Sus scrofa: one gene and its partner. The protein of the gene in region 1 purifies or fractionates together with the protein of each later gene. This does not show direct contact. Links are inferred from orthologs where the notes say so. Each region holds a gene or a part of one and is shown on either strand. Other genes may lie near its edges.

The links.
Region 2: the proteins of KIAA0368 (region 1) and PSMD1 purify together in Homo sapiens (affinity purification with western blotting; 3 studies listed by BioGRID, with this or other methods). This does not show direct contact. The link is inferred for Sus scrofa from reciprocal best matches to the Homo sapiens genes ECPAS and PSMD1.

Annotation. Positions count from the first base shown.
Region 1 is NC_010443.5:252,299,225-252,303,046, reverse strand, and holds part of KIAA0368 (proteasome-associated protein ECM29 homolog), read left to right. Parts: intron 1-1,170; coding exon 1,171-1,301; intron 1,302-3,822. UniProt on the Homo sapiens protein: Adapter/scaffolding protein that binds to the 26S proteasome, motor proteins and other compartment specific proteins. May couple the proteasome to different compartments including endosome, endoplasmic reticulum and centrosome.
Region 2 is NC_010457.5:131,831,584-131,835,405, reverse strand, and holds part of PSMD1 (26S proteasome non-ATPase regulatory subunit 1), read right to left. Parts: intron 3,010-3,822; coding exon 2,921-3,009; intron 2,463-2,920; coding exon 2,384-2,462; intron 1,912-2,383; coding exon 1,738-1,911; intron 1-1,737.

The DNA of each region.
Region 1 (3,822 bases):
TATCCTCCATCATGTTCCTTCACAAGTGACTAGATCTAGTTCCCTGTGCTCTATAGCAGGATCTCATTGCTTATCCACTCCAAATGCAATAGTTTGCATCTACTAACCCCAAACTGCCAGTCCATCCCACTCCCTCCTCCTTCCCCTTGGCACACAAATCTGTTCTCTATGTCCATGAGTTTGTTTCTTTTGTGTAGATAGGTTCATTTGTGCCATATATTAGATTCCAGATATAAGTGGTATCACATGGTATTTGTCTTTCTCTGTTTTTAAATAAATTTTAAAGTTGAGGTATAATAGAACCAGTAGAAATTATGGTAGTGTAGAGCTTGTGAATTTTTATAAATGTATGTATCTGTGTAATCATCACTCAGATTGAGATATAGGACATTTCCAACCCCTTTGGAAACTCCCTATTCATTACTGATACTTTTTGTAAGAATCTTTAAAAAACAAACATAACCAAAATACCATTATAACACCTACAAAATTAACAGTAATTTAAAAAAATCAAATATTCAGTCATATGCCTTTGGTAGGTTCCCCTCTCACCTCTGTCGCATCTCCTCCCCTGCAGTGTATTGGTTGGGTTTCTTATTCTCCAGTTTATCACAACCTGGCTTTTGCCGAGAGCATTCCCATGGTGCTATCATGTTTCTCTCTCAGTGGCTTTCTTGGTGGAAATTTGTCTCACGGTCTGGTTAGCTAATCCCAGCGGTAGTGGGCAGTGATTCTGCCTTTGGAGAACTTCATTAGTAAGATGGTTTCACCAAAGATGTCTTATCCCTGGTATCTGATTATAGTTCTCCTGCCTCGCTCTGCTAGTGAGGTCTAAAAGATTTCTTCAAAACCTTGTGTCTTTCCTAGTGTCCAAATCCTTTAGAAAAGCCAAGTAACTTCGTATGTAGGAGAGAGATTTGCTGTTCTTGGCTTTGTTTTCTTCTCGTCTAGAGATTCAATGACCAGGACAAGTGTTAAGACAGTATAATTAGCTAGTAAACCTTTTTAGTGTTGTTTCAGAGCTGTGCCAAAAGCATCTGCATACAGAGCTAGCTTTAAAGTTCTGACTGAAGGATCTGCAGTATAGAAAAAAGGATTAAACTGTAAAAGTAATTAGTGTTGGTTGTGTTTGATCTGCTAAATTCTCCTTTTTTTCCTTCTGTATTTTAGATCAGCTTGAACGGGTCTTTTTACGACTTGGCCATGCTGAAACAGATGAACAGTTACAGAATATTATATCTAAATTCCTTCCTCCTGTTTTGCTCAAGCTGTCCAGCACCCAAGAAGGAGTACGCAAAAAGGTAAGCATGCTGGGACAGTTGGGGGAATTAAATGGTGAATACGTGGATATATTTTATCAAGTGAATTTTCTCTTCCCATTATCAAAATATAGTTTCACTGGTCCCAGTTTTAAGGCCTTTAAAAATGGAGAGTAAGTCCAGGACCAGCTCCCATGATTTAAAAGTACCTTGTATGCTTAGCACAGCTGCATTTAGCACCAACTGTACACTTGGCACCAGTATTAGATGATGTAATTGGGATAATTATTCTGGAATATATGGAGGCTTGTTCGTGCCCTTGATTCCAATACGAAAGTCAAGTGGTAATGGGGCAAGAATATTCTTTAATCATTGGCCGACTGTGAATATAAATTTAGTTAAAAGTAAGCAAAAGAAATGTTTTTAAAAGCAAGCTACTGTTGTACAGCTCTTGTTTTAGGTTTTTGTAAAGTACTGTTACTAAAAGTTGGATAATTGTTACATCAAGATTTTCTTTTCTAACCTAATGTTCTCCATGGAACATTTGGCTCCTTCATTTTTAAAATGGTTCATAGTCTTCCACTGTATTTATACTAGACCTTGGGGTTTTTGAGCTGTCATCAAGTTTCTTCCCTTGGGCCACACTAATTGACTGGCAGTGGCTTCCTGGAGGTCTGCCCGGAGAGGGATTCTGAGGCCCGATTTGAGTTCAGTGGAAAAAGAGTATCTTAGAAGAGTGTCTGTTATGTTTGTAGGAAGGAATAGGACATTCTTGTCATACATATGACATGCCTGCTGTTAATACTGCTTTGCTGAGATAGGTATGTGTTCAATGATGTCATTCTCCCATTTAAAACTCTTCTATTGCCTTCTCTTACCCTTGGAATAGCGAGGTATAAAAGGCCCTTCATGAGTTGGTCTCTGTTTTCTTATTTAGCTTCATCAATCTCATCATTCATTTGATGAATATTTACTGAGTACCTTGTATATGCCAGGAGTTAAGGATATGTTGGTGAAGAAAGAAACATCTACTTGGGGAGATAAGTATTAACAATTAGGCAAACAGTGAACAGTTATAATTATAAATGCTAATAGGGAAAAGAATTCTATGAAAGAATATGTACAGGGACTTGATTTAAATTAAGTGTGGGATGTAAGGGAGGCCTCTCTGGTTGTAGGAAGTAGTCAGGCAGAGAGATGGGGAGACCACTCGAGGCAGAGAAGGCCTTGTGCAGAGACGCTGAGTTGCAGTGGAGTGTAAAGCCTTCAGGGAGCTAAAGAAGGCCACAGTGATGCAGCCAGTGCACCAGAGGACGGATGACCGGAGGTCAAGCCTGGGGATTCCAGTGGCAGCCACTTGAAGGGGTATTGGGGGTAATGACACAGTCACTCTGGCTGCTGGGTGGAGGAAGACTTGGAGTGGAGACCAGGAGAGTAGACAGAAGGAAGTTTTTGCATTAGTTCAGATTTCTAGGCTATTTTCAGTAGATGGTTCCCCCCCCCCTTTTTTTTTTAACTTATTAGGGTTTTAGTATTTCCTTGTATTTTATCTTTTTGTAGAAAAGCATTCATCTCTAACCATCTGCTTTAAATGTTTGGTAATATAATTTACTTCTATCATATTTTTCTTTTATAATGATTTTTATTTTTTCCATTATAGCTGATTTACAGTGTTCTGTCAATTTTCTACTGCACAGCAAGATGACCTGGTCACACATACACTATCATAGTATTCTTAATATTCCATTAACCATTCAAGTGGAGAAATTCTGTTGTTTCTACTTTATTATTACTGCCAAAGGTTTACTTTTTTTATGGGGCATTTTAAAAGGAAAAACAGCTTTTAGATTAATTTTCCTTTTTAAAGTGTATTTTTCTTTCATTTGTATCCAAATTATTTCTTTTTTTTTTTTTTTTTTTTTTGTCTTTTTGCTATTTCTGGGGCCGCTCCTGCGGCATATGGAGATTCCCAGGCTAGGGGTTGAATCGGAGCTGTAGCCACCAGCCTACGCCAGAGCCACAGCAACGTGGGATCCGAGCCGCGTCTGCAACCTACACCACAGCTCACGGCAACGCCGGATCGTTAACCCACTGAGCAAGGGCAGGGACCGAACCCGCAACCTCATGGTTCCTAGTCGGATTCGTTAACCACTGTGCCACGATGGGAACTCCCAAATTATTTCTTATCTTGTTTTCCTTTGATAGGTTTTTCTCATGCAGGATTTCCATTTGTATAAAAACACATAGAGAACAGACTTGTGGTTGCCAAGGGGGAGGGGGAGGGAGTGGGATGGACTGGGAGTTTGGGGTTAGTAGATGCAAACTATTACATTTAGAATGGATAAACAGTAAGGTTCTGTATAGCACAGGGAAATATATCCAGTCTCCTGGGATAGACCATGATGAAAAATAAAATTTAAAAAAATGTATAAATATGTATGACTGAGTCACTTTGCTGTACAGCAGAAATCACATTATAAATCAACTATGTTTAATAAAAAATTTCTGTTCGTATAGTAATGGTAGAGATTATTATGTGTCAAGAAAAGTGCTAATCACTTAA
Region 2 (3,822 bases), on another chromosome or scaffold:
ACTCCAAAATATATTTTGACATTAAGCATGCAGAGCAGCTGGTCTAGTGAGTATGATCAGAGGACACAGAGGGCCAGGGGTAACCTTATCAATTTCAGTTTCAAAAGAATGCTGTTTGCTGATGCAAAATAACACTGAGTTAAGAAGTAAATGAAAGAAAAGAAAATGGAGAGAGACAATACAGTTCTCTTCCAATAAGTTTACATCAGAAGAGGAGGAAAAAGATGATAATGATTAAAAAGGGAGAATCAAGTGGCGAGGAAAGATTCTTTTAGGATAGGTGAGACCTGATAGGCTTATGGACTCAGGGAGGCAGCACAGAAGGAGACTGAAGACAGAGAGAAAAAGGTATTTAATGGAACATGGTTATGAAGAAAGTGGGAGAAAATGGTGTCAAAAGCGAAACTTAGTCTTTATTTGAAGAATATTTTTGTGAAGATCTGTTATTTTTGAATAACAGTATCCTTTTATTGGCGAGAGCACCCCAATCCTGCTTGGGGAATAGTCTTCCCACTGGTCAGAGTCTTGGTAGGATTGTCATTCAAAGCAAAGCTCCCACCTTCCCCTAGCCAAAGTGTACGCCTGTAACTTGACAGGCCGATCAGACGCTCCTCTGGAATTTTAAGCTTTCTTAAGTGGAATGACTGAAGTTCATTCCTTCTGACAGAAGAGCCCTGAAGAGATGACCCCATTAGTTCCTACTATCTAGATCCCTAGAACTGCCCTGACTCTTAATCTCTGTGAGCTGGTTCATCAGCTTTTCCTATGCAAGCTACTTCCAATAAACTCCTTGTTTAAGTTGGTCAGCAGAGGTTTTTATTGCTGGTAACCAAAAACTTTATCTGATAAGAAAATTTTTACCTGAGACCAGTGGAAATGAGGTAGAGATATGTGAAAGATACATAGGATTTGTGGATAGGGGGCTTATTAGCCCAGAGAGACCATCCTACTGGCCTCAATCTTTTCACTAAATAGGACAGTTTTCTGGCTCACTCAGCTACTCTCTAAACAGCCTTCTAAAAGAAACTAACATAAAAGTTAAAAATCCTCTTTCAAGGTTCCTTAAAATAAGAACAGGGCTGCTTAATAAGTTTTTTTTCAAACCAATTACACTTAAAAAAAAATCACCAGGTGTTCCCATTGTGGCTCAGTGGGTCAAGAACCTGATATAGTGTCGGTAAGGATGCAGGTTCAATCCCTGGCCTCACTCAGCAGGTTAAGGATCCAGCTTGCTACAAGCTGCAGCTCAAATCTGGTGTTGCAGTGGCTGTGGATCCAATTCGATCCCTAGCCCAGGAACTTCCCTATGCCGCAGGCGAGGCTGTAAATAAAAAAAGAAAAAAAAAACCTCATCAAAGAGCAAACAAGCAAAAATTCTGATTCTTGAGCAAGTACATATAATTTCTTTGGGCTTTAGCTTCCTATAAAATAGAATTAGACTAAACAATCACTGATCACTTATATAACACTACAAGACTAGCGTATGGGAGTACAACATGTATTTTATAAGTATCTGGTACTTTATTTTGCTTGTCAGAGACAAGGTTTAAAGGACCGATAAGCAAAATTTTAGCATATAAAGAAGGAAAGGAAATTATCTTTATAAGAAAAGATTCCATGAGAACAGTACCGGTTTGGGAATCCTACAAAATTTCTATTCACTAAAACAACTGGCAAATATAATGTTTCCCTGGACTCTTAAGTAATGGGAATTTAGTTTTTCATTCTAAGACTTACATCATTGCTCGCATTCTTGAGCTGGTTAAGCAGATAGTCAATTATATCCCCACCATGATTGGCATGGATGAGACCTAGTGCATAGAGGCCTCCACCTTCCTGATAGGCTGATCCTGGAGAGGTGTCCTTGGGAAGATACGTTGCCATTAACTGTAATGCTTCCTTCTCATGACCCTGTAAATTTGAGCCATCGCAAAGGTGTCAGTAAGAGTATGTGAGAGAAAAAAAGCATGACATTTTCCATGATCACTGTCTTTTCTCCAGAGAAGAGGAAGTGGGGCTCTCTCCTAAGCAACTTTACCACTCTAATGAGAAGACAGCTTTTAGGAGATCCAGGCACATCTCGGTTAAAAGCAAATGCTTCAATTTTCAGGCCCTGTGTTTCACAACATTTCCCCAAATTCATCTTAGACTAGGCAAATAACTTATTCCAGTTCATCTTCTGGGAAATAGTTTAGAGTCTTCAAAGGAAAAAGATTTCCACTTTTTATAACAAACAAACACACATTTCTTATTTACTTTATCCTTCCTGTAAGAAGACTAATCCAATTGAACAAAATGTCCTTGTCAATGAATTATAGTAAACTTTACTCCAAAAAAATTGCTTCTGTTTGGATGTATGCTCACCCTGATCAGTATACATTACCTTATGAATTACACCCAAACTGGCTGTGGCTGTAAATTTTGCCCAGTTAGTGGCTCTGGCTAACCATTCCAAGTTATCTCTGTAAGAAAAGAAATTTTAGCAATACTATTGAAATGCACTCCATAAAGCTTTTTAAAACACTAAAGTAAAGGAATTAAAATTTTGCCTTAAGCTGTTATAAATCATTTTACTTTATGGATCTCAAGTTACTGATAATTCTATTTTACTTTCTAAGTTGCTCTTAATACATTTGAGGACATTTTTTTATTAATACATTGTATGTAATACCATTGTATCAAATTTCTGAGCTTAACACATTTCGTTCAAAAACCTACATTCAAGGTAACTAATAAGGAAAATTAATTTTAGCTCAAAACAAGGAAGCATATATAATTTAAAACTATATAAAATGGTAAAAAGAGAATTCAGAATTCAGGACTGGCAGGTAGGGAATTCCCCACATCCATGTAACAATTTCAACAGAGCCTCTGTTAAAGACACTCTTAAGCCAAAATGGGAACCTACAAGCATATTTACCTAAGAAACTGGTCACTGGTAGTCCCACAGTGCATAAAAGAGTTTGCTATAACGGTAGCTGTGTGACATACAGAATTCCTTACTGCATCCTAAAAAACAAATACAGCTTTTTATCATTGGCAAAATACTCATACATATGTAGGCTTGCATGTGAACATACAGTAAGAACCCCTGTTTTGTGACAAAAACATGAATAAACTGAACTGATACTTAAAATATGAATCTTGGATATCTCTTTATAAAGCTTAAATAGCTAGTTTATAAAAACAAGCAAGTCAAAGTTCTAATTGTTGTCTTAATTTGGGGTTTGTAGATTTTCTATTTTTTGGCAGTTCTCTTCAGTGTCTTGGCCAAGGTCTCCAAAATGGTGGAGTAACCTGAGAAGCAATGCTGCACCTCTTCTGGCACTGTATCTCTGGTAGTCACCAAAGTAACTTATTTTATTTTTTATGTTTAAAAAATTTGGGGAGTTCCCGTCATGGTGCAGCAGAAACGAATCTGACTAGGAACCATGAGGTTATGGGTTTGGTCCCTGGCCTCGCTTGGTGGGTTAAGGATCCAGCGTTGCTGTGAGCTGTGGTAAGGTCGCAGATGCAGCTCAGATCTGGTGTTGCTGTGGCTGGGCCGAAGACTGGCAGCTATAGTTCCAATAAGACCCCTAGCCTGGGAACCTCCATATGCTGCGGGTGCAGCCAAAAAAAAATTGGCCCCACCTGCAGCATATGGAAGTTCCCAGGCCAGGGATCAAATGTGAGCTGCAGCTGCAAGCTATGCCACAGCTGCAGCAACACCAGATCCTTAATCCACTGCACCATAGCAAGAACTTTAATTTTTCTTTCTTTTTTTTGCTTTTTAGAGCCAAATCTGCAGCATATGGAGTTTCCCAGGCTACAGCTGCCAGC